Oreochromis niloticus: one gene and its partners. The protein of the gene in region 3 interacts with the protein of the main gene of each other region in a pairwise test. Links are inferred from orthologs where the notes say so. Each region holds a gene or a part of one and is shown on either strand. Other genes may lie near its edges. The genes, in order: zbtb8a, mindy3, rad23aa and sqstm1.

Region 1 (7,927 bases), on a different chromosome or scaffold from region 3:
CTAGAACAGATCGTTTCAGGCAGATGGTGAAAAGAGGTGCAGCAGCAACACTATGCACAGTACAATATGAGAAAAATGATTTTTGAATACTAATGAATGTAAATTTATTGTAGTAAACCCCTAAATTGAAAATGAGCATACCAGGGCCACTTTAAAACACAAACACTTCAAATTTGGGTATGCATCTGCACACACACAAACACACAAACACACAAAAACACACGCACACTTTGGTCCAGTTTCACTGCAGCTCTTCGTCGCTGACGTCCACTTGCTGGATGATGAGGTCGGCCCCCGAGTCTTCTGCCAGGTCATCGTCGTCAGTCACCATCCAGCTCCTCTTTGTGTCCCCCTCCTCCTCCCCGTCCACACCCAGTAACAGCGCCGGCTCCTCGTTGTGGCCCTCCAGGCTGTTCATGGGGATGTCGTCACAGCCCACTTCCTGGATGCACGCTGTGCACATGCGGTAGCGTCTCGTGCCCTCACACACCACATGCCCGGTCTCCTCGGTCACTTGACACTTACACTTCCTGCACACCAGCTTCCTGGCTTGATGAATCTGGGAGATTAACAAGAAAAAGAAAAGATTGGATAACGATTTATTAAATATTAGAGTAAATTTGTTTAGCAGCTTGTTTTCCTGGAGCTGTAAGCCGACACGGACACCGAAGAAAGTGTAAATTTACCATCTGCTGTGAAAACACCTACCGTCTCAAAATGGCTGCGTAGATGCTCCAGGCGAGTAAAGCGCTTATTGCAGGCCTGGCATGGATACGGCCTCTCACCGGTGTGACAGCGCAGGTGACGCTTCAGGTCTGCTTTCCTCTTCACTGTGTGTGTGCAAAAGGGGCATTTGAAGCGCATGGTAGGATTCGAATCTGCAAAGAGGAACAGAGAAAATGTGACATTTGACTTTTCCCTATCATCTCTGTCCAAGTGTTCCCGTCATCATCATCTTCTGGTGGCACACACCTTTATTAAAGTGTCCAATAACACCCACAATTGGTGGCAGAGTGGCGTAAAGCTCCTCTGCCTTTTCAGCCTTTCGTGTCCGCGCCTCCTGGATGTCCAAGTCTTCGTGCTGGTTGGACCGTGCGCTGTTGGTCGCTCGCCTCTTTGTACTCCCTTTTCCACGCCGACGGTCTGATCCAGGCAAGGTGTACAAAGGGTCCTGAGGGTCCTGGAGGTCTTCTGCATCTGCACTGAGCTCATTAACAGGGCTGTTTGGATCAGTCTTCAGGGCCGAGGCCGAAGGATCCTGGTCCGAGTCCTTTCCCATAAAGCTAGACTGTGATCTGGAGTTGTCCCGAGTCCAGAGCGCAGGTGGAGGGCTGACAGAGCAGGGGCCCTGATGCTGCTCTGTGGAGTCTTCTCCTGCTCCGCTGGTAAAGCTACAGGTCTCAGACAAGCTGAGGCAGCGATCGCTGTCTTCATCTTTCACACTGATGTCCAACGAGGACTTGATGAAGTTCTTGCAGTAGCTGATGACGTTGTTCATCTGCAGATAGCTGGCTGCAGACATGACTTCAATCACATTGTGACTGGAGAGGTCCAGCTGGCCAGAGTAGATGAAATCCAGGATGACCGTGAAGGTCTCGGGGCTGAAGACGTCAAAGGTGGCGTTGACAGTGTCATCGGGCCCCTGGGACAGCAGCATGCGGAAGTAGCCGCTGCTGGCGAACAAAACATTGCGGTGAGCCCTGAAGAGCTGGCCCTCCACCAACACACTGCAGTCACAGAAAAGCTCCTGGCGGCGCTGCTGGTTGAGCTGCTTCAGCAGGTTGCTTTGGTGAGACACTGTGATGTCGGCCGTGTTGAACCACCTCTGAGGCTGCCTGCAGGAGACAACATGACAGCTCGCTCACTAGCTCTGTATGCAAGACACACTCACTTCTTTAGCAAGAAAATAAGAAATGACACAAGTCCTGTAGACCTGGTGGACATTCATTACTGAACTTCTTCCCAATGCCAAATTAACATGGAAAACACAGGCCGCTGGATTTTAATGGTCTGGTAACAGCCTACAATGGTAATCATGCCACATTCATCTGAGCATAATAAACACAACAGCATCACCACATGCTTGCAGCTGTCAATTTTTGCATCTTTGTCTTTACACCGGCTCAGCAGAAGGCCCGCCCACCTGACTTTTTTCTGCATTTTGATTTGTTGAAGGATCCTTCAAGCAAAATCTTCTCCTAATGGGTTACACCCGACTCAAGTCAGTCAGAGAGCATCGGGTGACAAAACCTTGAATCATTTCTGAGGTCTCACGCGCTCCAGAAACCCCCGACGGAGTAAACGCGTCAGACTTGTAGGAAGAGAAAATAAAACACTGCAGCCGGACACGCAAAGAGAAAAAAGAAAAAGAAAAAAAATAGGTCCAGCACCCTGATTTTCAGACCAGTTCTTATTTCACGGTAACCTGTTCAATCCGTGCTCATGCAGGCTCGGGATTGCACGCACCCGTGTTTAATGAGCCATCAGCGCGGCTGTGTGACAACCTCCGCAGCGCCCGACAACCCACGGTGCAACGCCCGCCCGCAGGACTCCATGGTGCCTTTCACGGCACGCGAAATCAAGTCTAACGTCCCCACCGAGCTCTTCCGCGTAAAATCAGACATCCTTCGACCTACAAAGCGACACGACAGTGCTGCAGTCCTGCGAGAGGAAAGCGGGCAGCTCAGTCTGTCTGTCCTGGAGCGACGCCCACTTCAGGCTTCAGCCAGCACACAATAGAAAAACAGACACAAACCTCCGGCAAGTGAGCGCGCTGCGAGCTGGAAAAACACATCTATTCGCATTGTGTAACAGTCTGGGGCAACGACGCGCTAACACGCCCGTTTTCATCCTCAAGACCACCCCCACTTCTCTCCGGAGGTCCGGCGAGCAGCGGGGAGGATTTGACTGCTGCCCAAAGCGAGCGACTGCTTCGCAGGCGCGAGGTGTCGGCAGGACCCGCTTACGCCCCACGCCTTCATACTCCCCCTGACAAAATCCATCGATACTCACTGGTGGCTCGATTCACCCGGCGCCCTGTACAGTCTGCTCGCCCCCAAGTCCGCCACCATATCCATGTTTAATTCCCGTTTGCCTTTCCCCCCCTCCGCTCTTTTCTTTGCTCGTCCAGGGTCCACAGTCAGGCACTTCCTGCTCAGCCCTAAAGACCGAAACCCGGTTAGACCGACTGGAGCACTGTGCTGACGTGGGTGTTTATTAACTGGGTGCCCGAGGGTTCAAGGAGCCATTTAAAGTCCCAGTGCCCCGTTTAAACAGACGCCCTCACTGCGAAAGGAGCGATATTCATACAGTATTTGTGCAGGGACTCATGATGCTCCTCTAACCTTATCACACAGGTCCGAGTCTTTAATCTACCCCCCCATTTCTGAAAAAAAAATATTTGTATGTATTTAACAACAACCAGGGTCACAATCACTCCACACAGTCAAGGCAGAAAGTGCACGTTTCAGCTTTTCAGTAAGAAAATTAATTTATTCTTTCATTGTTATGGCTCACAGATCAATACATTTATAGAGAAAATATCAGTTGTTAAGTCTGAGCTAACAGCAAAGAGTAAACAGACATTTAGATACTCTTCTTGTAGTCAGCTGAATCATTAGAGTTTAACAAAAATAAAAACAATGCAGCTTCTCTTGAGGTCTTATGTGTCATTGCGCGAATGAGGAAGCTGGTGGTTCCCTTTGGTGATTTTAAAAGAGGATTTTTAAGCAACAGTCCACTCGGGTTGCGTCAGCAAGTGCCGTTAGAAAATCCAGTGGGGTTCATGGACTGCCAGCGCCACAGGTCCTCACCTGCATGGAAAGAGGTGCAAAGAAAAAACACAGAGATCATACAGGAGATACTACAACACTTTTATTTGACTGTAGAAAAGCAAACATGGAGAAGAATCAGATTTTCCAGCGTGGCTGTCCTTACACATTCTTTCCAGGTCAAATTGAGCCTTCCAGCCCAGCTCCTTCTCAGCTAGGCGAGGGTCGGCGTAGCAGGAAGCTACGTCTCCTCCCCTGCGAGGGGCGATCTTATATGGGATCTAAACAGAAAACACATTGTGTTAATTACATGGACAAATAAGGTGATCAGAGGTATTTCCACAGTGCCAGATTGGTGGTGCTTTGCGTCACTTCCAGAAAACAGACTATAAACATGATTCAGCTCTCACAGTAACCACGATGACTCACCTCTTTTCCTGAAGCCTTCTCCATGGCTTTCACCATCTCAAGCACTGAGTAGCCTTTTCCTGTCCCAAGGTTGTAAACCTACAGACACACACACTAATAAATACCTAAAGCATCTATGTGACAATGGTCGTGATGGAAATTTGCTCCAAGTTGTTATACCTTGCACCCGCAGTCCTCCTTCAGCTTCTTCAGAGCAGCGATGTGTCCCTTTGCCAGATCCACAACATGAATGTAATCTCTCACACCTGCAAACAGAAAGGAGCCTCGTTTGCATGGTTCTGAGTATCTGGCTGCTATTTAAAGTGCTATTTCAAAGCTGCCTGCAAGTGCAATGATTTGCAGTGATTTCCGTTACCTGTGCCATCGATCGTGTCGTAGTCATTTCCATATACGCTCAGACACTCTCGTCTCCCAACGGCTACCTAAATTAAGCAATGCAAGCAAATCGGAGTCATGCGATTCATGGAGACAGATGAAACAGTGAAATAACAATCACTATGATGCGCACAGCGTGGCATCTGGCAGAGACTTTAGATACCTGGGCAACATATGGCAGCAGGTTGTTAGGGATACCCTGAGGGTCCTCTCCTATCTGACCGGAGCAATGAGCTCCGATTGGGTTGAAATAGCGCAGCAGCACAGCATTCCAGTCCTGCCCACAGAGAAGGAATAATGAGACACTTCAGGAGATGGAAGTGTGCACATCTGTGAATGTGTTTCTTCTGAGTTTACCTTCTCAGCTTTACAGTGGTCCTTGACCATCTCCTCGATGAAGTACTTGGTCTTCCCGTAGGGGTTAGTGCAGCCTCCCACGGGGTGCTGCTCATCTATGGGTAGGCGCTGGGGGTCTCCATATACTGTGGCGGAGCTGCTGAAGACCAGATTGCGCACTCTGTGAGCCTGCATCACCTGGGACACATGCAGATACACATAAACATGGCACATACACACAATCAGTGGCCGGAGAGTCAGCAGTCCACAGCACACGTGCATTCAGCTCAGGGCTGAGGAAAAAAGGCCGATTCTGGCTGTTACGGTGAGCTCCACATGCATAACATCTCAGAAGGACGCGGTTTTAGAATTTATCAGCTCATTTTCAAATGAGCACACGGGTGTGCGCTCGGCAAACACAGAAGAAGGTCAGAGCAGGGATTAATAATGAGTGCAGAGCAAAGATTCAAAGTGCTAATCTGAGATCACCCAGGAGCTACTGACTGACCTCAAGCAGGTTCATGAAGGCGGTGAGGTTCACTTTGTAGTAGAGTAATGGCTTCTCCACCGACTCGCCCACAGCTTTCAGCCCTGCGAAGTGAATCACAGCACTGAAGGAATGCTGCAACACACAAACAGAGAAGCACGTGTGACACAGGCCGCAAATACTACAAATGAACTGCTTTTCATGACAGTTTATGCAGGCCAGCAGGGACATTTTTAAGAAAACAAGCAAAGGCTATAAAAGTTAAATGGTGGTGCATTTTTCTTATTGCTGATTGTTTTATGGGTGTAACAGTAAAGCAGAAATTGGGCTGTTTTTTCAGCTAAACAAACCCAAACATACTGACTTTACAAATCAAAGTGTCTACACTGTAAAACAGTTTCAGATGCAGATAAATAATTAGAAAAAACAAAGCAACTGTAACAACTTTCTGACCTTTTTGAACAGCTTTTCCAAGCCGGGGCGGTCGAGGAGGTCCAGTTCATGAAACTCAATGCTGGTTTTCAGGAGCTTTTCTATCCTGCGTATGCTCTCTGGCACATTCCCTTCTCCTCAATCCAAAACACAATGGATATACACACACACACACACACACACACACACACACACAGAAACACCAGGTCTAAGTATCACGCTGATTATTTTTCAATTCAATTCAATTTCATTTATATAGCACCAAATCACAACAACAGTTGCCTCAAGCCGCTTTATATTGTAAGGTAGACCCTACAATTTTTTCAATAATTTTCTCAGTAAAAGCTCTTCACTGGTGTGCGTAACGGAGCTTACCTCGCACAGCGTTACTGAAGTTATCCACCACGACTGGCTGATAGCCTGCTTCAATGAGCTCCACCACACAGTGACTCCCGATGTAGCCTCCTCCACCTGTGACCAGCACCTTCTCTGCCATTCTTTGGGTCTGATGGATAAAAGATACAATCACATCAAGTCAATCAAAATCCTCTCTCAGTCTGAATGCTGTAGTGGAAGCAAAACTATGTCATCCTGACTGGAGGATGAGGATATCCTTTATCCTGACACACCTGAAAGCTTTGTTAAGTCCACTTTAAAGCTAAGTGACACACCTGTATTGTCCCACGTCAGCAGGTTCAAGCCTTAACCTGTCCAACCACATGAAACAATTATATTGCTCGAAGAATAACACGTCAGTGACTACTGGCTATTGTTAAGAGCCATCTTATCTTTTGAGAGAGTGATATTCTCTTTCCAACAGGCCACAACTTCCTTGCACTTTGTATGATGAAACTTTATTACTCAGTTCCAGTTATTACTCATCTTTAAGACATCCTGTTTATTCCACGGAAGCAATCAGAATATCTCAAGGCTTATACTTGATCTCTTTACAGGTCGTCACACATTACAGTTAATTCAAATGGATGAAATATTGGATCAGAGCAACTTTAGAGGCTTTTTTTTTTAAAAGAAAAAAGTAAAAGCTGCTTCTTCAGGCTAATTAACCAAATCTTATAATATTACTTGAAGAATAAAGACATAACCTAAGTAATAAGTGCTAAAATGACACACAACAGTTCACTTTCATTTAAATTTTCTATAAAATACTCACCGAGGTTCTCTTTAAGAGGTGAACAGGCGTTTCCGGTGGAGACTCTTGATAAATGTTGTCGGAAGCAGAAGCAGAAGAGGTGAGTGTTGAAGGTTTATCCGTCAGTTCATTCAGTGAAGTCTTCTAGTTTTTCCTGTAGACATTTCTTTACTTCCTGTAAAACGTGGGGCGGAGTCAAGCGAAAGATTAACAGACGACTTCCTGTACGCCTGCTTTCAAAATAAAAGCACAAACGTTAAATTCTCTTCAGTTTCAAGAAAGCGAAACCAACTTCTGTAAAACCATATGGGATAAATATAACTGATGGACTTCTTTACAGCCCATCTCAGTTTAGTTTAGTTTTAGGTCCTTCTTTACTCCTTAAATGCTGACATCCATTAATGTTACACTGATAAATACTTTTACACAACTGGCAATTAGATGCTTTATTAGTAGCAGTCCATCCACCCATTTTCATCTGCTAATTTAATTCATCAAAATTTACCTATTTACAATTGTCTTTGGTCTGCTGGAGGAAGCCAGAAAGGATCCACGTAAGCAATAGGAAAAACGTGCGAACTCCAGACAGCGAGACCCCCGTCTGGATTCAAACCCAGAACCTTCTTACTGTGAGGCGAGAGTGCTAATCACTGGACCGCCATAACCCCTTTCAACAGTACTAGTTTTTAATGTGGTACTCAGAATTATGGTTTAAACACCCAGGGTCAGAAAAAGGGGTTAATATCTGGACATACTGTTACTGAGACACACTGTGCTGTTTTCCACTAAAAAACACACAAAAAACCCGGGGTCCAGCATCCAAAGCAACAGACAGCGTGCAAGAGATGTGATTTACAAGATGGCAGTGAGATCTGCTATGCTATATGATTCTGATATCGTGGCACTGGCAGAAAAACAGGAGGCCGAGCTGGAGGTGTTAAGATTTTA
Region 2 (7,453 bases), on a different chromosome or scaffold from region 3:
ATGTGGACAGAATATTTACTGTCACTTACTGGAGAACACTGTGAAATTGCTCACAGCCAAGCTCCTCAGCAGCCAAAGCAGCTAGGCACAATAAAACACACAGAAACCGTAGCATTAGAGCATGTCACATCGAAATACTGGATCAAGTAATTAGTCATTAAAAATTTCTATTTAACAATTAAATATTAAGACAAGTCTTCATTTAAACAGTAAAAATACTTCTGCAGTTTCATTTTCAACGTGCATCTTTTATGGAAATGTGACAGACGTAGGACTCACTGGGTTGCTGTTCCTGTGGTGGCTGACTGCTTGCTGGCTCTGGCATCTCCTGTGTTTGCGACTGTGCCTGTGTGATCGTTTGTGTGCTAGTGTGTGGGCTCTGTCCTTTGGCCCAGGTCACCAGGCAGAACCCCGTGGAGGTGCTGGAGCAGACAGACTCCAGGATTTCGCTTAGCGTCGAACAAAGTGCCATTTTCTGCTCCTCCTCTAACATACACAAACATAAAACGTGCTTTTTTTAAAAAAAAACAAAAAAACAAACAAAAAAAAACCATGCCGACTACATAAAATTAAGAGCACAGGCAATTCAATGAATGAGTTTGTTTTTTGTTTTAATTTAAGAAATTACCTGACATTTGTCTCCAGTTGGAACTTTCTCTGTTAAAGAGGACATTTTTTAGGAGGAAAGCCTGCAAAGAAACAAAGTCTGTAACCAAATTTGCAAGAAATATTGCATGGTGCAATGTGCTTTATCTCTTAGACATTGTTTGTCCACAATCAGCAATCACAGACTAACAAAAACTGATATTTACTTCATTTTATACAAGTAACCATTTTTATGGGGTCGCCAGTTATACAAATCTAATTTTTGATCAAAACAAGATGGTCAAGATTAGATTTTTCACAATGTTTGTCTCACTTTGTCTTCTTTTATAAATCCAGTGTACTTTTTTTCCCCTCGTGATGGGATCTATTATACGTTTCCTTAATGGTGGATGTTTACATAAAACAAGGAATATGTTTCAAAATGTGAGGTCAGCACATGTGCACATAATACCTCTTAGCTAAACGTTCAGGTACTCTAAAGTGAGCCATGCATGTCTGGCTGTGAGTAGCCCTACCCACTGTTAAATAAGACCATTTTTTTATAAGGAGCAGCTAAAACAGAACATTGTGTTCAAGGGAGGGTAAAAGTAGCTAAAAAATGTTTTATAGAATGTGGATGAACTGAAGAGCTACACTACAGCCCAATGTAAGATAAAATACAATTATTTTAAACTTTAAGACCAAGACCACAAGCATGGAACTGGAAATGAGCATAACACATCTCCTTTAAAGCAGAAAACCTTGTTGTCAGGCTGTGGCATATTTAGTTCAGTTTGCATTTATTATAATCTCAATTTTAACCAAAATAATTGCATAAATTATTTTCTTTCCAAGCTCCTTAGTCTAATTGCATAAAGATATTTTATCATAAATGAGCAGGACAAATTGTCAGAAGGCTGAATACGATCTTACCTGGACAGGTGCTATTACAGCACAGGGTCCTCCTTCAAACTGCTCCAGTGCTGTGAGCTCACTTTCACTAAAAACAAATCCTGTCATAAACAGCAAAAAGATTTTGTGTCGATAACAACTTAAAAAAACCAAAACAAACAAACAAATGGATATCCAGCTGAAGACCTGAGGGCCACAGACCAAAATCAGGGCGTAAACCGCAACATGCAGGTAAGTATTTATACTTTCATTTTCAGTATTTTACATTTTAACTTTGTTTCAGCTAGAATTTCACACAAAATCACTGCTCGCTGTCTTTTGGTCTTAAAGTCTGGATACAGTGGATTATTGCTTCATACCCCTTTTGGGGGAAATTAGTTTAAACTCTTATCAACATACTGACAACATACTGAGAAAAAGTATCATACCTTGGGCCCATCTACGGAAAATAGAGACAGACACTCCACTGGAGGGTCTCCCCCAAACCAAATCCACCACATCTTTATTTAACTCTGACATGTTAGCTTTCAGTGTTGGATGATCCGAAGTCAGTCCCTCTTCAGTCCAACAGCCAGGTGGAGAAAAGATAGGCCTGTTTACACCAACTTGCGCTTTCCTCTTGTTGCTGACAGTTTACTTCTCCAGGCAGGTCGAAACCTGTGGCATTGGCCACAAGCTGCCTGTGCACGACAGCCTGACTACAAGTACTGACAGCACACTGGCGGGTAGGAATGACATCAACGTAACCACAGCAGCCTACCAAGTGATAGAACAGAAACCATGCAGTTTATGAGAAAAAAACATATTCATGTTTCGGTCTGTGGGGGAAAATGTCCATTAGGAAGTGCAGATTACTTTCATATCCACGATGACAGTCGCCCGATTTAAGACCAACTAGTTTTTTACTTTGGTAAATGAATACTAATTTATACTTCCCGGGGTTATAAACCAGCTAAACATCTACCAGTTACATTAACGCTAATTTAAGAATCGTTTATTAAAAACTGATAACTAGATAACAATTTGCTTATTTGTGGCGACGTTGTTACCTTGCAAGACATTTGAGAAAATAATGCACCAAATTTTGATCTTAACAACCGAGTTAGTTTGGTATTGTCAACAGTTAGCATTAGCATCACTACTAGCAGCTAATCTTTCATTGCTTTGTCATTCATTTACTTTGCACATTCAAACGACGGCTAGAATCGTTACATGAACTCCCAGGTTTTCGATAGGTTTATATTAAAGGCCTTAATTACCTTAATACACAGTCCGATAATGGTATTCTGTATTGATGAAATTTTCTGGTAGCAATTTCACCGTCAACCGCGTCTCTGTCATTCGTTTATTTACAACGGAATTGTGTGAAAAAAGAGAAAGGCGTACAATTGACGTACTTGCTCATTGGTTGAAATCCAGAAAGTTCCAGATGCGTCAAGGGCTGCGGCGTCAGCGCGTTGCCTCAGTAGTCTACAGACTTGTCAATCATATTAAAGAACCCCGCCCATAAATGGAAAGTCGTCTAACTGAACTAAAGCTCTCCTTAGCAACTTGGAGAAAGAAAAATATCATTATTAAAGTCTCGGAAATCTTCTCAATTAAATAATATTTTTTTAATAAACGGACTCATACCAACAGGCATATAAAATATCCTCGTTCAGCGTTTCATTTTACCAGCTTTAGTCAGGACTTTCGCTTTTTTTGGCCGCTACCCCTCTCCGTAGGAGCAATAGAGTCACCATCCGGCGCATGTGCACTGTATACTTTAAGCTAACTTTAACTTACTGTCCACGCGTGTTTAGAGTCTCACTTTGGGAAAAGTGGGGTTTGAGCCCAGGGATTTTAGAAATATACGACGCGTTTTTCTTCAGAATGGGTGGTCAAGCTAAGGGTAAAAAGAAAAATAAACCGAAGAGGAAAGATAACCGTCCAAACAGGGGTGAGTTCACTGGTTTATCATTTTATTTACTGTGTATAACGTCAAATTCGTACACACAATGTTTATAGAAAGGAAGGACTGTTATGTTATGTTTTGAGTGTAGCTCTAATAAAAACTATTGTTATACGTGCACTTGTAACATCTCTGCAGATGGAGGATTTGTTGGTTTATCACCTCAAGAAAGGATGAAGGTAAGAATGCAAGAAAAAGCCAAGAAGAAGACAGCGGAGAAGTACTCAGTACAGCAACTCCTACAGAAGGTAACGTTTACTACATATCCACAACAAAGGCAGGACCCAAATATGCCATTGTCTTAATATCCTTTTGTTCTTTAAATTCTAATCAACTACTGAGCTTTCCTTATGTGTTGTGGTGTACAGACTGAAGAATGCATGGACAGTTTTGATTTTGAAATGGCCAGCCTTTTCTGTCAAAGAGCCCTGGATGTGGAGCCCACCAACCTGCAAGTTCTGGACATGCTGGGGCACATTTCCTCTGAATTAGGAGACACACAGAAAGCAAAAGAAATATCCTTTCTCGCTGCTTGTGTCCATAATTTTGTATTTTCACTACACTGCTGTGATAATTTCATTCTACTCTAATGCAGTGGTTGTTGTGGCTTCCTTGACTCCCCTCTCACGTATTCTTGCGTGCTGTGGAGCTTAGCCCAGATATTGGCCACAGTAAGTACATGTACCTGGGACAAATCCACACAGGCCGGGAGGCTGTGGACTACTATACCAAAGGCATACAAGTCCTACTGAATACATTGGAGAAACAAGGAACAACAACAGTAAGTGATTGAACATAGGAATACCCCTCTCTGTTTATCTGGTTATGGAAACTGAACTAGATGTCATGACTTTGTGTTCAAGGCTCCTGAATTTTTTCATTTTCACAAGAGGGTGCTATTGGACAATGCATATCTTAGTGACATGCATTGTTATGACAGATTTATGTCAAACCTATGAGCATCCTCATAGGTTTAACTGTTACTCCTGACCTGTAATACTAATTACAGATATTTACAAAACACTTTACCGACACTACAGTGCACTAAAAACTATGAACTGTGAACTTAACTTTGAAACAAAACAGATTTTACACCGAAAATGTAAAAGAGTAAAATGGCAGTTCTTGAAGTGGTCAGAGGATGGTAGTTTTAAAACTTCTGCCTTTTTTCCCCCTTAAATATATTTATTTATTTAAAAAAGAAAATATGGCTCGTGAAGTTTTTTGCGTAAGCAAAGATAAAATGTTTTCTCATTTAGAGGACATAATAATGTGCCATGCATTACAATGTTAACGTTAAATTACAACAAATGGAAGGAAAATAGAATAGAAGAATGAAGTTAAAAATGTTAGGATACATTGTAATAATTGCAAATGCATTACTCTGTCAATTTTACATTCACCTATTCAATATCCTTGTTGTTGTTTAACTTTGTGACACCTCGTTTATTAATATCATTGTGAGGGTGAGGTCTCTTTATTACTCTCATTCAGACGTCTTCAATATAATAGCTAGAAGTGTCACTTCTAGCTAGATAAGTGTGTCAGTACTCAATAACTGTGACAATGAATCAACACGAACAGAGCAATGACTCTGAAAGTAAATTGGATAAATTTAATTCACGCAGTTTGCAACTCTGATGTTACTGCTTCCTTCCTGCTGTGACATGTTAATATGATTTCAGAGGAAAAGGCTTTTTCAGATGGTGTCCCTTTTTATTCTGATCATTTCAAAAAGAAAACCGGTCTTAGATTCTGTTTCATATAAGTCTCTTTCAGTCTCTTTTGAGTTGTAATGAATAATCTGAACTTTAGAAACTAAAGAAGTCTGCCCTTTGATTCATGCAGGCTCTGGCTGGAGCTGCTGCCCCACCAGATGAGGACCCTGAACTCCCCACAGAGAAGGATGTTAGTGTAGCCTACTGCTCCATCGCTGAGATTTACTTAACAGACCTCTGGTACTAGAGCACACAGAGTTATGCACTTGACACTGATAGGCCTGCCTTTGGTAATATTTTGAGATTTTCTTTTTCTGTGTGTGTGTGTGTGCATGTAGCATGGAGGAGGGGGCTTCCGACAAGTGCAGAGAGTTCATAGAGAAAGCATTACAGTATCACCATGACAACCCAGAGGCTCTACAGCTTATGGCCAGTTACCTGTTCAGTACAGAGAGAAACCAGGTCAGTCCTCTCTTTCTCACACACACACACACACACACTCAGAGGCACGCACACACACTTGAGATGAGTTATCACCACATTAAAGCGGGAATCTGCTGAGTTAATTATTCTGAGCAAATTGAATCGTATGCGATTAATCAGCAGATGGACAGGTCATGCCGATAGGAATGTTAATTACTGGGCGGATCATTAAGGTCATGCAGTCATCTGATAAAAAGAGAAAAGATGAGGGAAAAGCATATTGGACTAAATTTAGAAAAAAATCCACAAGACCTTTTGAGTGTAACATTTGACAGTGAGTTTAGAACAATATCCTAAATAAACTTTCTGTATTTTTACATCACATGTATATTTGTACATGCGGGAGCCATTGCTAAATGAAGAGCATCTTAAACCACTATTAATAGACGGCATTCAAGGCAAAAGCTTTTTTTTTTTTTTTTTTTTTTTTTTTTGAAGTATTTAAGCATGTTTATTGTTTACTTGAAATGTAATCTAATTGATATATGGCCTTAAATTACCATGTGGAAGTATTTGTTGGCAGTGCTGTCTGCCTCAATCATCCTCAACATGCACTGATGATACAACAAACAACATTCAGTTCACCTACCACTGTTTTTTGCAAGCTATATGTAATGGGTATTTTCAAACCTCTGTACTGTCTCTCCGTACTCTCCATGCACTCCTATCACCAAACGGAGCAGCAAAGGATCTGTAATACTACCTGTAAGCTGTAGGGGTCAGGCTGGTTCCAGTCTCACTCCACACCTTTCCACATCCTGTGACAAAGTCTCTTTTTTTGGAATTTTTTCTAAGAAACAAGAAAAAATAAATTGTTCCCAAATTAATCCAGGGATTCTTGGTTTCTGTAGAAAATCCAATAGCTAGTCTGTGGAAGTAAATTATACAGTGGGATTAGTCTGTAGGAACTGATTTGTGTGAAGAGTGCATTCTCCAATTACTCTTGTATATACATTTGCATAAGAAATGAAATGTATATTTTTTTTTTAAAAAGCTTTTTATATTTATATGCTCTTTTTCTGTGTTCAGGAAGGCAAAGATTACCTGTTGAAGAGTGTCGGAATGTGGCTACCTGCGCTAAAACAGAGAGCAGCTTCGTCCAGCGCAGGGGAAGACATTCAGGTAGGCTGTAGCTGTGGGCTGGTATTTGTCTCACTTCCACCAGCACCAGTAAGATCCCAGTTTATTTATAAAGCCCCTTTAACTAACAAGATTGTCAGAGCATGCTATGTGGTGTGCACAAATATAAGGACAGCTGTACAGATAAAAAAAAAAGTAAGAGATAAAGAGGGAATGATAGAAGATGAAAGGTGGAACACAGACTTCACAAACCTGTATACATTTGTGTTAGACTGCGCAGAGAGAAAGCAAATAATAAATTCAACACCAAGAAGGGTTTTAAAGTATAAACAAGCAAAGTACAACATGGAATTTGATAAAGGAAAAATGGCTATAATGTCAAAGCTGGATGGGCTTTGAATAGCTCAAAATAAATTGCAGATTCAAATAATAAAAAAAGTGATGTAAGAGGGTTTGGTGTGATGATTTGATACAATAATCCCAGTGACACCACTCTTATGACTCTTATCTTCGGGAGCAGGTTGATGTGAACACAGCCTGCTGACACTTTGGCTGTGATTAACAGCCACATAGCTGCAAAACGTTTTGTACCTTGAAATTGGATTGTGTTATTATCAGACAAAGGAAGAACTATGTTTGTGGATGCCTGTGAAAGCGCTCACTGCAGAGGTGGTTGTATTGTCCTTTTTTATTTTTTTTCTTCTTTCTTTCTCTCCTTCAGAAT
Region 3 (7,638 bases):
AGGAAACAGTAATAATCAATGGTACACACGTAGTTGGGCAGCTGTAACTCTGTTGAATAGTGTATTCAAAGCGATCGTCAGTATGCAGATTTAACTATACATTAGTCCAGTACATACAAGCAGGTCAATTCGTGCTCAGACACACTGGAAATGTTTAAAATGATTTTATTACAGACTTAATCATGCACATCTCTTTTTCCAAGGTATGCCTGCCAAATACAAAGCAAAACATTTTGGTTTGTAATTTAGCTAACTTATTGACAAACTCTATAACCCATGAAGCCTAAGAGCAGATCCCACAGATTTAGATTCTAAGCAGCCGAATGACATCAAGAAACAACACAACAGCAACAAGGTCAGCGAGACTGTCAGGAGGATGACACGAGACAGAAAAAGGGATGGCTGGCTAGTTATCTGCAGCTGATCTTTGACCAAAAAAAGACAGGATTGATTTCCACTATAAATATCAGTCTAAGAGAATTTCCATCTTGGATGGTGATTCTCTTAAATTGATAAATAGAATTTTTTTTTTTTTTTTTTTAAAGTCACCAGATGAGGCAGCCCAACCAAGAGTCTGTGTGCATGGGAAGCACTGCAGTTATGAGTTATGTGCTCAGGTTAAAACCATCCCTGTTCTTATCTTAAAAGTTATCGGTTGTGATATTGACTTGAACAAGTCCTATAATACGTTTTATTACTAAAATGTAATACCTACAGTTGTTTTCATTATTCATTAATCGAGCCGACTGGTTTTTAACAACCAAAGATGGTCGACTTGTACATCTACAACCAGGCAGACATCCACTTAATGTGATAAACAGAAGCAGGAATCAATGGCTTATCAGCTTGGAGAATTAAAAAAGGAAAAAAATGACTAATTTATGATTGTAATTTCCCACCAATCTCTTAATTGATGCACAGTTCTTACAGCTCTAAACATTTCTCACTTACACATATTCTGGAAAATATGATGTAGTGACATCATCCAGTTTTCTCCTTTATCACAGAGTAAACTTTAATGATCAGCACGGCCAATTATCACAGGCAATATTTGCCATTTTTCCAGCTACTGGAAACATTACACTTTTTGACACATTTTCCTATAAAACAGTTAAGAATGTGCAGGGCTGGCTCTGATGCAGGCCTGAAAAGAGCAGGAGGCAGGACACAGGATGTACAATTGCTAGCTGTGACTTTGCCTACAATCTTCTCGCACTGGCACAAATTAGGTGCATTCAGAAACCAGACAGACTCTATAATATGACACTGGCTGGTTAAAGGCTGTTTAATGTCCGAGCTGTCCAGATCATACAATTATCTCCATTTAGTAGTGTCTACAAGAGTTCAGCTGGCAGTGCAGAAAAACAGCATTAGTAATAGAGAGAGTGTACCTAGCTGGTTGTTGTGGTTCTGTGGCTACGGCACTTGACTCCTCTTTGGCCTCCCCGCTAGGAATGGGGACAGCTGCAGGGGCTGGGGCTGGGGCTGGAGTTGGGTTTGTAGTCGGGGCAGCTGTTGATGTGGAGCCAGAGTCCTGTACTGGGGGTTTGGGTGCTTCTGAGACTGATGGTGAGGCTGCAGCTGCAGGCTTAGCCTTTTGTTTATTTAAAAAAAGAAAAAAGAAAAAAAAAGTGCTATTAGACTATCAACATATTGTTAAATCTGTTTAACATGAAAAGAAGCCAAATACACTAATGTCAGCCACAAGTATTAATTAGGATCTCACCTTGGACACCATCACTACAACAAAGTTCTTCTCATCAATTTTGTAGTCCTTAATTGGTGTGTCATCTTGCAAAATTTTCCCAGCATATATCAGCTTCTGCCCGGATACAGGAAAGTTGTCTTTTCCCCTTTCTGCTTCTATCTTCTCTTTCAAGGCCTTCACCTAATAGTAATAATAACAAATCAAAAAACAAAAAACACCCAAGAACTCATTATTATCCATGACATGTCTTCCAGTGCTTGTAATACCAGAGGTTTAATATTAGATGACCGGCTTTCCTTTAAGTCATTACAAAGCAGGGAGTCATCCTAGCTGACTTCAGCTTTAAAGTTAGGTCTACTAATGCTATAAAATGCAGTGGTCTCTTTCACACCTAGTCCTAGTCTATTACGTGTTTACTAAAAAACCAAATTTTGGAATGTCACTAGAATTATATCCACTGTGAGTATGCTCGTACTATTTCATTATAATATATCACTTAACAATGGGCCCTGCAAGCTACACCTTCGGATGTGAGGACATGCTAATAGACAGAGTCAGTTTCTGAGTGAAGCTAATCGCAATTGGCAGTGTCATAGGCGTTAGCATTAGCAATCACGAGCGTAGTCCACAGCTTGCGTTCATCAAAAGATATTAGATTTAAATCCTAACCCATATCACTCTTTAACAAAGAGCAGTAGACACAACCGCGAAACGATATTTAAATGATGAAAAAAGTCGTTTAAAACTGTGTCGCTATGACTTTGATAATGGGCTACTCTGCTAGCTAGCTTGCTAACGCTAACTCATCACAGAAGTGAGGCGTCGCGTTGTTTTGCGGTTTCTTGTGGGTTGCCACTTTGTAACGTGTGCGACTATTGCGAATCCTCCAGTCGAATCTAGTTGTTAGTCGTTCTTTAATGTGTAATATAAACGAACTGGAAGCTGTCGGGTCTTCACGCAAAGCCAAAACACAGGTCCCGCAGCTAGCACTGTTAGCTTAAAGCACGTTAGCTATAGCCACTCACCGTTTGTTCGGGGTCTATCTCAATCTGAATAGTCTGCTGCTGCAGCGTTTTAAGTGTGATCTGCATGGTAGCGGCGACTGACGCTGGGTCAGAGGTGCTTCAAACAAAGAAACAGTGGTTCGCTAAACAGTTAATTTGTTTTTAAAGTTGGCGTTTCGGGTAAGATAACAACTAGCCGAGAAATGTGTGTATCCATGAGCACTCAGCAAATCGCCATCTTTGGTGACAAGTTGGTGGTGCGGCGAGGAAAGCTCCGCTAGAGGGTACGAGATCTCGCGTTCACGTGCTCTGCTCCGCGACTATGGCAAGCTATGGGGTTTCTATCTAATAGCTACACAGTCATTTTGAATGGTAATATTGACAGCATATCCACATGGGATAAATATTATGAAAATATGGCCAATTAGAGTTACAACAGGCTAAAGTCAGAAAAGTTAATGCTATTGTAAAATTGAGTTTATATTATCTGAAATGTGATGCACATATCAAATTCTGCCAAAACAATAACATTAACGAACTGGTAGTTAGATAACTGGCTTTATAGAAGTACATGGTCAGCATTATGTGACTTTTAAATCTTTATATGTCTGTTTTGTAGCAAATAAATTAAAATAATCATAATAATAAAAAATCAATCTTGTGATTAGATCACGGCAGCTGCTACACTAGTGAGCACCCAAAGACCTTTTTAAGCAGCAGCTGTTTTTGTATGACACAGTCTGTAAATGAAGCTGTGTAATGATTTCAATTCTGTACCTACAGAGAAAAAAGCCGTTTTAAACGTTTAGTAACACTTACTGTAATCCGTCTGTATCAAACCATAAACACAAAGCACCTTGTTGAATCTGTGCCGTGAAGACTTAAAGCAGTTCTGAAGGAAAAAGGCGGACCGACCCGGTACTAGCAAGCTGTGCCTAAGGACACGGTGAAAGTGTGTTCAATGGAAAGAAAATGACATAACAACAGTCAGTGGAAACCTTGGCAGTCTGGATTTAAAATATACCAATTATGGAAACTAAAAATTTTCTAAGTGTTCCTTTTTTCTTTTTCTTTCGTTTTGTTTTTTGAACATGAGAGAAGTACTGTCGGTGCTTCTATTACCCCATTATTAATAGATTACTGAAGATATCCTAAGTTTGCCTTTTGCATGGCCATTTTCCTGTGGTGCGTTTAGAAATCGACCACATATCTGAACATGTACACGAACAAGTACACGAAAGATCCACTTTTTAACTCCTTACTGAAACTGAAATATTACGTACAGTAACTACAAAAAAGGAAAAATAAAATTCACATCCTTTAACATCCACCAGAGGGTGCTGCAGCTTCCTCAGGACCTACTTCCCAGGCTTTGCAGCGCTTTCAGATTGGAAATGTCCCCAGCATATGGGGACAGATAGTTTTGCTACAATAAAAGTCCCCTATAAACTCAGCCCTGTATTGATTCTGAGCAAAACATCACAACTGTAAAGTTTAGCTACTCTATCTTGCGCATTGACAAAAACTGCCTATGAGGTATACACACACACACACACACACACACAGTGAAAGCAGTTTGGAGGATGGTTTGTTGGCATCTTATTCAAACACACACTGCAAGCTCGCACTTTATCAGTAATCAGTGTAGTTTAGTGTTACAGTCACCAGAGGGCAGAGTTTGACCACTGCCAAACACATTCTGATTAAAATGAAGAGGGGAATAGAAAACATGGGAAATTTTTGAGTAATAAAAACCAACGTGTGCGTGTGAGAGATGGTGTTTGTATGTGATGCTGCTTTGGTTGTTTAACTGAAGCCTTCATGAGAATGGGAACTGGGCACTGTCATCAACACATGCTAAGCCTGTACTACAGAGGGTGGATGCAAAGGTTGGCGAGTTTACTCAGAGTTACACGACTGTGCCTTTTGAGAAACACGGGGAATGAGAGAATAGCTTGTTCCCATTTTACAAACCTTTAGATGAAGGTAAACTGTGGTAGGTGCTACAGTAATCTAATATAATAGCCTACGTGTGTGATTTGTTACAAACGCACACAACAATGTGCACATACATTGAGCCAACGATCAGTCAAGTCTTGAGCCAGCTTTGTGACATCAATTTTTTATCAAGTTACCCCCTCCTTCCATCGTTCACTGCCAGGTTTGCGAGGGTCTCCCTGTCGGTTCTCTTCTTCCCGCTGCTCCTTATCCTCCTCATTATCATCCTCCTATTCTTCTCAAGATTTTTTTCCCCCTTGCAACCTTTATTATACTTGTATTTGGTGATTTTTGTCCCACCTGATACTACCGCTACCAAAGTGGCTTACCCTGTTTTGTGTGAAATCAGGTGAAAAAGGGTGAGGGCTACGAGGGGAGAGATCACGGAAGAACAGAGGGAAGTGAAGACAAGATTAGAAAGAGAGCGGAGAGAGGAAGGAACAGAGTGATGAAGTGAAAGGAGAAGGGTGTCAAAGGGGGAACGGTTGGAGCGTAAGAGATTGATGAAGAAGAATGAGAGACGGTGAATGCATGTGTGTGTGCGAGAGAGAGGATGGTGCCCTAAATGTGTGTTCATCTGGGTTAATTCTCAAGGACAGAACTATTAAAGATTAACAACCAACCACCATGTTTTATTGAGACCAGCCGCATTTGCAGGCATATGGCTCTAAACACAGACCCACTTAAATGTCTGTGATTGTGTGTCCGCTTTTGTGTGCATGTGTGTGTGTTTTTCTGGAGGCCTTTATTTTGTTCAAACAAAACGACAGTCTTTTCTAGGAAGATATATTATGACTGTAAGCTTGGCTGTTTGCTGGAGTGCTGCAGTCAAACCTCAATTACATCAGCCTCACTTAAGCCACACACCTGACAACAGAGTGCTACAATATTGTGGAGTTAACCAGAAACTGCAAATAATGGCTGTTAAATGATCTCTTGGATGTATGGAAGAAGCATTTACAAAGTAAATAAAACACTAAATCTTGGCGCCATGACTCGCCAAATCTGACACCATGACTGTTTGGTTAAAAGTATCGAGGGGCAGCCACATTTAAAACGATATGTGGAGACCATAGAAAGCCAGTGCAAGTGTGATGCAAATTAGGTGTCCAGACTTTAAAGTGAGTGACTAAAGTGATTAAGCAATGGGAGCCAAAGATACGGTTGATTAACACAATAAGGTGATAAATACATTAGACAACCAGAGCATGGAGCCATCTTCTAGAGTGAAGCCCAACCGATTGGCTGATATTAGCCATTTGCTGACTGAAATAAAAAAAAAACTAAAGAAGGGACGGTAGAAACACCGTTCAACCATGTTATGCGCACTGATTTAGCATAGTTTGTCCACCAGAGGGCACTCTGCAACTTCTCAGATGCTAACGCAGAGTGTAACAATCGGCTGTTCCAAGCAGTGTTGGACAGACTGTAAATGAGTGTGCGCGACTTGCTATGACAATAAAACAAGCTTATTTTTTTAATTCCATTGTCATATTATCTTAGTAAGGACTCATAAGTAACTGCACATGACCAACATATCAGATTTATTGGTCTTAAAAATTCTATATCGGTTGGGCTCTATTCTTGAAACACTGTAACAGTTTTTATTGATGACTCCCCGATCTAGCTGTTAACACAAGTGGGTGGCATGTATTCCTGTCTTATACAGGCTATACCAGCTATATTATTACAACATGCTGCAGTCAGAAGTCTTATATACCAACAGTCTAAAGAGCTTGGAAAGAAAAGCGTCTGGACTTCCTTAAGTTGCTTGAAGACGTTTCACCTCTCATCCGAGAAGCTTCTTCAGTTCTAAGGTCAAATGGTGGAGAGTCCCAGATTTAAGTTCTAGGGGAGTGTCCCCCAAGGGGGTCATGAACCCCCTGTTGATCCTCTACCTAATCACACGAGCCAAGGTGTGAAAACGGGTGTAGGTCGCAATCAACCAAGGTTTTGGGTGAACCCGCTGTGAAACCTAGCCCCACCCTATCATGTGATTTCCTGAGGTCAGATGGCCCAGGATGTGAGTGGGCGTTAAGGCGTCTGGGAAGGGATCTCAAAACTGGATTATAGATGGCAGACAGTTGGTGTCGTAAATCACCGCCTCTGTTCAAAGATGGTAGTTCACAGTGGACATAAATGGCTTCTTTGACTCCTCTTTCAAACCATCTGTCCTCTCTGTCCAAAATGGGAACATTGGCGTCCTTAAGACAGATGATAGGGAGGGGCTAGGTTTCACAGTGGGTTCACCCGAAACCTTGGACTTAAATCTGGGACTCTCCACCATTTGACCTTAGAACTGAAGAAGCTTCTCGGATGAGAGGTGAAACGTCTTCAAGCAACTTAAGGAAGTCCAGACGCTTTTCTTTCCGAGCTCTATAGACTCCCATAACCTGGATGACTGAGAACCTTCGCAGTTATACCAGCAGTCCTAACTTTAATGGGTCTGAAATACTGCAGCAAGACTGCTAACAAAAGCAAACCCCTGCATCCATACACTGGTTATTTGTATGATTTAGAACTGCTTAAGATTTTTTTAATGATAACTTTTAAAGCACACTTGGGGTTGCCCCTGATTATATCTCTAACATGTTAATTCTTTATGAGCCTAAAAGGAGCCTCAGGTCTGTTAGTCATTCTTACATCTGGGGACAGCAATGATTATTAACCACGAGCCATTCATTTTTCAACCTTGTTAAGGAGGGCCAAGTGAGTTCTGTCAGCTTGTGGAGTTTTTTGTATCCCATTAGACACTACAAAGATATCATAACATGAAAAAAACATTATAAAAAAATATTAAAAGGCAAAAAAAGAAAACAGTGTTTTAGCATGGTACTTGAATGCAGATGTCATTCTTCATTTAGTTAGTAGGAACTAATAAAGCTCCAGGTCAATGGAAAACTTTAGTTTGTATTGCGGGGCCCACTA
Region 4 (7,654 bases), on a different chromosome or scaffold from region 3:
GGTCAACTCCAGGGACAATCAGCTGTCCTGTGTGTCTGGACGGATACTCAGAGGTCAGTCACACCTGTGTGTGTGTGTGTGTGTGTGTGTGTGTGTGTGTGTGTGTGTGTGTGTGTAGGGCTGTTCGATATAACGATATATATCGGATGACGATAGAAAAACGTCTATCGCTTCATTTTACGCTATCGTTTGTTTCGTGGTGTCGCAAAATAAACTGTTTACGGCAATATTTTTTCATCATTTTGATGGTCACTGTAGTGGCTATATTAATTTCTTAAAGTTCTCTCTTTCTCTTATTCTCTTATATTTAATATAACCACACTACAGACGGACAAGCGCTTGTTTTTTATGCGTTTTCGTTAGCAACAACAACGGTAAAACCACCTTGTGTCCGCTTGTTTATTTTCCACATAAACCTTTCACAATAAAGCTCAAGATCCTGTTGAGGCTTTTCAAAATAAAACGAGTCACGTGAAAGATGCAGAGTATTAACGGATGAGAAGCAAAAAAGAGCCGCCAGGTGCTAAAAAATAAACCTTAGACTCAAACGTTAGAACAGACTTTTCTTCGCAGCACGCTGTGTAATAAATACTCACAAAGAAAACGGCGGCTGTTACAACTTACGTCTAAAAATGTATAGTTCCATGCATCAGTTAACACACTCGACTCCAGGTACACGACGCCCAGCTGGAAACACTTCACGCAAGTCGAGATGCCCGAGATTCACAGAATTTACAGGAAATGTTACATTTTTGTAATTTATATCGTTATATCGACGATAGATGTCTTAATATCGGGATATGAGATTTTGGTCATATCGCACAGCCCTATGTGTGTGTGTTCAGACTGTTCAGCATGAATAAAGCAGAAAAATGAACTTTACTGACACAGAGTGCCAGCAGCGAGGTTCTTTCTTTATCCTGCTGCACATGCTCAGTGTGAGCTCCGAGGACGCTTCCTTCAGGGTGAGCGTGCTCAGAAAGTATACAAACACATAACATCCTTATAGAAAATGATGTAACACTATAGATCAACTTACCTCAGAATATATAAAGCATATAAACAATTACAGCAATAGGATGCAACAAACACAGCAGTGCTACTAATCCAAAATACTCAAAGCTTCATAGAACTGAAACAAACATTTATTTTTAGCTCCATTCTGCTGCTGATACATACTTTAGGTTTCTGAATATTAAACTTGTTGCTGCCTTTCATAGTGTGTAACTTGAAGGCCCTGAGTACTTTCTCCCACACTGAAAACACTGGAATAATCAAATGATTTGAACATTACCTAATAAGACTGATTCAGGACAGACAATTAGTTCTTTTAAACTTTCCTAGCAGTCCTTCACAAACAGGGAACAGTCTGTCTATTCTCTCAATCTGTCAGCTGCTGCTGGCTCTTCCTCCTCCTCTTCCTCACACACTGCTGAGTTTGTCCTGGTGGATCATCAGGGGTGCAAAGCCTCACAGATGATGTGCAGCAGTGGGTCCCTCAGTCTGTCCTCACTCTGGACACTTGCAGTTGTCACACATGGAAATCAAATGTGCGATAAGCTGCAGGATTCAAACACAAGTGTAACTTATAAATACATGTTCATACTTTTATTCCACAATCAGAGAGAAAGAAACAGAGAGAGAGTGCAGGACAGACAGACAGGTGACAGTCTCAGGTGTATACACTGCTACAAAACAGCACAAGAGAAGGAGGATTTAGTGTTTGTGTTATTACGAGTACTAAACAAGAAGAGTTCCCAGATGGTCCAGTGGACACATGTGTGACTCCTGTGATTAAAGCATCTTTCTTTCAGCTTAACGAGTGAACCGTCAGCTCGTTCAAACACACGTTAAAGTCCGTTTGGCTCGACGCCACCGAACAGAGGCAGCAATATAACATAGCTAACATTAACAGTGCAGTGAATCCTGCTTGTGCCATCATATTCAGGACTGCAAACCGAGCAGCATTCACTAGCTGTGTCCCAAAACCTAGGCTGTATCCTCCTGAGGCGGCATTTGAACGACGTGAGGTAGGCTGTCCCAAATTGAAGACTCCTCCAAATGCGTCCTTCATTTTCCGAGATTTTGAAGGATGGGTCGGGTGTGTCCTTCGTGGCCCACCGTATCCCAGAATTCATAGCACGGCCCAGTCAATTCCAGTTTAGTTTAATATTACTCTTATTAATCTTTCTGGGTCACAAAATAAACTTTTAACATATTTCCAGGCGAGAAAGTAGCTGTGTAAACTTCAAATATCTGCTTGGTTTATCAAGAAATCGCATAATTGCAAAAGCGCGACGTTTTTGGAGATGTCTGTTACCCACCGGCTCGATAGCTAGCCGGGAGGTCGAGGCTCACTAGAGAACAGCAGACACCCGGCACATCGTTATCAGACCCGCCGCCGTCTTTGGCTACTCAGGTTAAACATGATATACAAGTCATTCAGATAACTTAAATGTTATTTTGTTTGGCTTTTTTCACTGTTTTATTTGTTCCGGAGTAAATCGGTTTGGCTGAGATAAAAGTTATTAGATTAGATAATAAAACTTTATTAATCCATCGGGAGGGTTCCTCGGGGGTTTTCACACAGCTGAATAAACGTCAAACAGAAAACTGATTAAACAAAGTGCGAGATTCAAGATTCAAAGTGTTTATTGTCATGTGTGTAGAAGAAATAGCTTTTCTCTGTGCAATGAAATTCTTCCTTTGCTGTCCATACAGAAGATGGTCGAGATGATCGAGAATTTACTCCAGTGTCCTGTTATATTTTAGATAGCAAGGAGCAGATGGCTGAGTTTATTCATGCCCATCGAGATGGCTGGTGACACAAATCTGAAGGCTAGACCGTCCCCTTTCACAGCCTCTCACTTCCGGCCTTCTCGGTCTTCGGAGGACCCAGCTCACATAGACCACGAAGCCCGGGTCCTCCGAAGGATGCGGCCTAGGAATTGGGACACAGCTAGTGTGAGCTCTGAGTAACCTTCAAGATCGACTTTACAGCCCTCAGCTCGCTGCTGATTTAATGCAGGGGACGCTTCCTTCAGTGTGAGCGTGCTCAGAACAAATTGGTGTTGGTGACTCGAGTGTGTCTAAAAAATAGTCCAGCACAATGCTTGATGAGATGTGTGCTTCCTGAGGCATTGTGGGTAATGAAATACAGGCTTTACTACATTCACATGGCCACTGATCAGTGAACCTAATCAATAAACATACATATCCTGACTCTTATTTTGAAACTTTCAGTGTGGTTTTGTGTTTTACTTTGAAAGTATTACAGTGATGTTTGAGTGCATTGCTCTGATTGGCTGTTGTGGGTTTTGTTTTTTTGTTTTTTGTTGTTTTTTTTTTTAATTTCTTTGTTCGCTTCTTTTTTTCTTTTTTTTTTTCTTTTTCTTTTTTTTTTCGCAGATCGTTGGGAGCGGCCGATTGGTCGTGTCCACCCGTTGTGGTCACGTGTTCTGCAGTCAGTGTTTGAGAGACTCTCTGACATCATCACACACCTGTCCCACCTGCAGGAAGAGACTTACTCACCGCCAGTACCACCCCCTGTACATCTGACATCACTCTGAGACCACAGCTGAGTCCTGCTGCCATTGGACCACAGGCCATGATGTTGATATTATTTGCTGCTGAATTGTATTTTTTTCTTTTTTGTGTGTGCGCCTCTGTTTGGACATTAAAGTGTTCAGTCATAGCTGGTAAACATTATGGATTAATGATTCATGTGTATTGATTTGTTTGTTAAAGCTGAAATAAATTTTGATTTGTTTCACTCATTGATCAGCTGATGGATCTACAAAGTTACGGCAGTAATGTGGAGGAAAAATACTGCACAATGTACTTTCTGTAATCAGAGTACAGGAAGTACTCACACACGCACAGCACTGTTTTAGTCTGACTGTGTGTGTGTGTGTGTGTTGGGGAGGGTGCTTGCACTGATGAATCATGGGTAGTGGATCTTAGTCTTGTGACTCTGCGTCACCGTCTCCTGTCTGCAGTGACTCAGAGTCAGCTGCCTGAAGAGTTGCTGCTGATTGGCCGAGGCTGCCAGAAAAACAGATAAGTTTAATAGACATGAATACAAACGCGTCAAAGATCAATAAATCAGTCAGACCTAAGAACTTGGACACTCGTTCTGAAGTTTAAAACTTTATTTAAAATGTTTACTGGGTGTTTTTAGAGATAAAGGTTAAGTTATCAGTTGAAAGGTTTTATTGTCCAGATCTCAGGATCAGGTTTAAAACGCTTCAGTCACGTGACCATGAGCATATCTTTGGTTTTGATTGGAGAGTAAGCAGCAGAGCCAGAATGATTGATTTATTAATCCAAACCCCGTCAGCTGTGAGCTCTGATCAGTCCGCCTGATTATTGATGATCAGTTTCATGTCGAAAGCCTGCTCTGTGATCAGGTATTGAAACCGTCTTGTAACGATGACTTTGCGATATTTTATTATGAACTTTAAACAGGTCACATGACTCAGGGAAAGTACCTCATTGGAAAGCCGTCGAGTCATTCCTCGGCTGCCATTGGTCCTGTGGGCGGGACTCTGAGAAAAAGCCAATAGAAGGCCGAATCTGTGTTTACTTCCCTGACGTCACATACGTCGTTTCCCACGTCTGTCGCGGAAGTAAACATAAAGCAGAGCGAGAGATTTCAAAGTGCGTCACAAACTCACCAACTCCTGGACCTGGACACCTCTCAGCGGACATAGACAGAGATAAACCCGGCCTCCGGTTGACTATCAGCGAACAACACGCAGACATACACCCAGCCTCCGGTTGACGATCAGCGGACAGAGACACAGGTGTACCCGGTGTCAGTGGCAGGATGTCGGTGACTGTGAAGGCCTACCTGCTGGGGAAGGACGAGGCGGTGAAGGAGATCCGCAGGTTCGCGGTTGATCAGGACGTATCCTGCAGCTTCGAGTACCTGAGCAGGAAAACTGCGGACGTGTTTGGAAACCTGAACAACTTCAACCTGTTTTACCGAGGTGAGCGCGCGGGGGTTCAGATGAGGGAATTACACTCTGATCGCTTCCTGGATTGTTATTGACTTAAGTTGCGACTGTAAGAGTGGGGACGTAACTGAGTTAGTGCGCAGGCGCACACTCACCTGACCAGACTCACCGGTTTCCCTGTAAACGCATGAAACCATAATCCGCTGTTGAATTAATCTTTATTTATAGTCATGTAAACGGACAAACACCCTCAAAGTTAGTCTGGAATTAGAAAGTCACCTGCAGCCTTTGTAGTTCACCAGCGTGTGACTAATGATGATGATGATGATGATGATGATGCAGATGAAGATGGGGACCTGGTGGCCTTCTCCTCTGATGATGAGCTGATGATGGGTCTGGGGTGCATGAAGGACTCCACCTTCCGCCTCTTCATCCGAGGTATGTTTGCGGTTTGTATAAATGTTATTGCTCGCTGTATCTGTCCTCCAGCTGTGCTAATAAAGCTTCATTCTTACAGAGAAGAAGGAGCACAGACGGGACTTCCCTCTCCATGCCTTCCCTCCCTTTGCCTTTGGGCCTCCCCCTCCCCCTGCTGGAGGTCCTCCACCTCCCCATGCTGGAGGTCCTCCACCTCCCCATGCTGGAGGTCCTCATGCCCCGCCCCATGGGCCACACATGGGTCCGCCTCCTCCTCATGTGGCCCCACCCTACGCCATGCACCCCAACGTTACCTGTGATGGCTGCGATGGCCCTGTGATCGGGACCCGCTTCAAGTGTTCAGTGTGTCCGAACTACGACCTCTGCTCCTCCTGCCAGGCTAAGGGGAAGCACACTGAGCACGCTCTACTGCCCATTTGGCATCCACTGCAGGTGAGTCTACCTGTGCAGGTCTGCAGGTGTCCTGTTCAGGCCCTTCAAAACATGACTGTGAGGCTGTGTTTTTCAGTGGTTTCCTCGGGGGAAGTGGATGAAGAGGATGAGACACTGCATGTGGAACCTGAACCAGAACCAGGCTCAGAACCAGGACAACGACCAGGACCAGAACGAGTCTAGCCCTTCTAAACCTGCTGCTGATGCCAACACCCCCTCTGGTGAGTTCTGCCATCTTGGTTAAAGTGATACTTGATCAATAAGTCAGATCAGAGCAGATAAGGTCAGGAAACGATGTACAAGAGGGAAAATGCAGCAACATTTCAAAATAAAAAGGCTGTGTGCGGACTGAATGGTCATGACATCAGAGCCGCGTTTGTGTGGCCCTTTAAACATCCTGTCACAGCACTAAAATAATGTTATGTGTGACATCTGTGTGATTTTAAAACATCTTTCATTTCTCCCTGCAGGCTCTCAGACCAATGTGGACTTCCTGAAGAACATTGGCGAGGGTGTGGCAGCCATGTTGAGCCCACTAGGTGAGTGTCAGCCTTATTTAAACAGTTGTTTGATGCTGTAAGGTAAAGACTAAGACGTCACTGTGTTTGTGCATGTGAGATGAGTGAACATCTCTAGCTGGCTCTAAAACAGGAAGTGGTGCGTGTGTTTTACACAGGTATCGATGTGGACATCGACGTGGAGCACGAGGGCCAACGGACCAAGGTGACCCCACCTACTCAGAGTGGGGGGGGTGAGGGCGATGAGGAGATGGAGCATACGAGCAGTGAGGGCGGGGCCAGTCTGGGAGCAAAGGTAACTTTTATTTTTATAAAACCTCAAAGTGCTTCATGATGTAAATATCAGAAGAAAGAACAATCAGCTGATCCTGACGGGACAGCAGGGAGGAAGAACTCCCTTTTAACATCTCCTGTGACCTTGTAGCGTAGTGACCCTCAGGTGAGCAAGGACTCTGATGAGGAGTGGACCCACCTGAGCTCTAAAGAGGTCGACCCCTCCACAGGTGAACTGCAGTCCCTGCAGCCTGACAACCAGGAGCAGGGGCCCCTGTCTGAGGGGCAGGCGGGCCCCAGCGGGCTGAGGGAGGCGGCACTGTACCCACACCTGCCTCAAGGTAAGCTGGCGTCCACACTCGGTGACTTTAGTTCTGTTAGTACTGACCTCTAAACCCTGCTGACCTCTGACCTTTTGTCCTCAGAGGCCGATCCCCGCCTGGTTGAGTCGCTCGCCTCGATGCTCTCAATGGGCTTCACGGACGAAGGCGGCTGGCTCACCCGCCTCCTTCAGGCCAAGAACTTTGACATCGGCGCTGCGCTGGACGCCATCCAGTATGCCAAGCAGCCCCGCCCACACTAGCACTGATGATATCATCACGATGTCAGAACCTGCATCTGATTATTTCTACTCTGTTGTCTGAATGACAATCAATACTGTCCATTAATCAATGTTTCTGTTCTCTTTATTGATCATCCTATAAACGTTTCTGTGTGAGCAATAAAAGCATGAAGAAAAGCACAGTCTGTCAGAGTCTCCTCTTTAGAAACAAACAAATGCACGGTCACTCTGGGCGACGTTTAACAAGGAAGTCGTCGTCAAAGTTAAAGTCCTCGCCGCTGTCAAACATGGAGGTAACAGGAAGAAGAGGGCGGGGCCTGCTGATTATTCCAGCGCAGGAGGGAGCAGCGACACCGCTTAAAGACTGACTACACTCATGAACTGTAGGCTTCTCCCCCTCCTGCACCTTTGAGTCAGGGCTGAGGAAATGAGCCCACCTGGTGGTGGAGAGGGTGGGGCTACAGGTGTTCATG

The links.
Region 1: the proteins of rad23aa (region 3) and zbtb8a interact in binary tests that used the Homo sapiens proteins (3 or more experiments, as listed by UniProt). The two-hybrid records come from large-scale screens. The link is inferred for Oreochromis niloticus from reciprocal best matches to the Homo sapiens genes RAD23A and ZBTB8A.
Region 2: the proteins of rad23aa (region 3) and mindy3 interact in binary tests that used the Homo sapiens proteins (3 or more experiments, as listed by UniProt). The two-hybrid records come from large-scale screens. The link is inferred for Oreochromis niloticus from reciprocal best matches to the Homo sapiens genes RAD23A and MINDY3.
Region 4: the proteins of rad23aa (region 3) and sqstm1 interact in binary tests that used the Homo sapiens proteins (3 or more experiments, as listed by UniProt). The two-hybrid records come from large-scale screens. The link is inferred for Oreochromis niloticus from reciprocal best matches to the Homo sapiens genes RAD23A and SQSTM1.

The regions. Positions count from the first base shown.
Region 1 is NC_031983.2:27,606,063-27,613,989, forward strand, and holds the start of zbtb8a (zinc finger and BTB domain-containing protein 8A), read right to left. Parts: upstream 3,003-7,927; 5' UTR 2,851-3,002; coding exon 2,756-2,850; intron 2,750-2,755; exon of another isoform or gene 2,161-2,749; coding exon of another isoform or gene 2,144-2,160; intron 1,836-2,143; coding exon 973-1,835; intron 879-972; coding exon 709-878; intron 560-708; coding exon 242-559; 3' UTR 1-241. Other genes in the region: gale (UDP-glucose 4-epimerase), read right to left, coding at 3,751-3,812, 3,937-4,051, 4,200-4,277, 4,359-4,444, 4,555-4,621, 4,738-4,851, 4,932-5,108, 5,419-5,532 and 2 more. UniProt on the Homo sapiens protein: May be involved in transcriptional regulation.
Region 2 is NC_031976.2:19,162,202-19,169,654, forward strand, and holds the start of mindy3 (ubiquitin carboxyl-terminal hydrolase MINDY-3), read right to left. Parts: upstream 3,016-7,453; 5' UTR 2,895-3,015; intron 2,892-2,894; exon of another isoform or gene 2,757-2,891; intron 2,254-2,756; 5' UTR 2,017-2,253; coding exon 1,926-2,016; intron 1,599-1,925; coding exon 1,519-1,598; intron 690-1,518; coding exon 629-689; intron 487-628; coding exon 280-486; intron 82-279; coding exon 30-81; intron 1-29. Other genes in the region: si:dkey-12j5.1 (probable assembly chaperone of rpl4), read left to right, coding at 3,247-3,436, 3,587-3,696, 3,817-3,963, 4,077-4,229, 5,297-5,406, 5,505-5,628, 6,679-6,771, 7,451-7,453. UniProt on the Homo sapiens protein: Hydrolase that can remove 'Lys-48'-linked conjugated ubiquitin from proteins.
Region 3 is NC_031969.2:7,064,872-7,072,509, reverse strand, and holds the start of rad23aa (RAD23 homolog A, nucleotide excision repair protein a), read right to left. Parts: upstream 3,010-7,638; 5' UTR 2,800-3,009; coding exon 2,734-2,799; intron 1,889-2,733; coding exon 1,727-1,888; intron 1,595-1,726; coding exon 1,392-1,594; intron 1-1,391. UniProt on the Homo sapiens protein: Multiubiquitin chain receptor involved in modulation of proteasomal degradation. Binds to 'Lys-48'-linked polyubiquitin chains in a length-dependent manner and with a lower affinity to 'Lys-63'-linked polyubiquitin chains.
Region 4 is NC_031966.2:36,315,663-36,323,316, reverse strand, and holds sqstm1 (sequestosome-1), read left to right. Parts: upstream 1-4,649; 5' UTR 4,650-4,828; coding exon 4,829-4,991; intron 4,992-5,300; coding exon 5,301-5,396; intron 5,397-5,475; coding exon 5,476-5,828; intron 5,829-5,904; coding exon 5,905-6,049; intron 6,050-6,298; coding exon 6,299-6,367; intron 6,368-6,504; coding exon 6,505-6,641; intron 6,642-6,770; coding exon 6,771-6,960; intron 6,961-7,044; coding exon 7,045-7,202; 3' UTR 7,203-7,361; downstream 7,362-7,654. Other genes in the region: E3 ubiquitin-protein ligase RNF4, read left to right, coding at 2-53, 3,409-3,558; uncharacterized protein mrnip, read right to left, coding at 7,405-7,654. UniProt on the Homo sapiens protein: Molecular adapter required for selective macroautophagy (aggrephagy) by acting as a bridge between polyubiquitinated proteins and autophagosomes.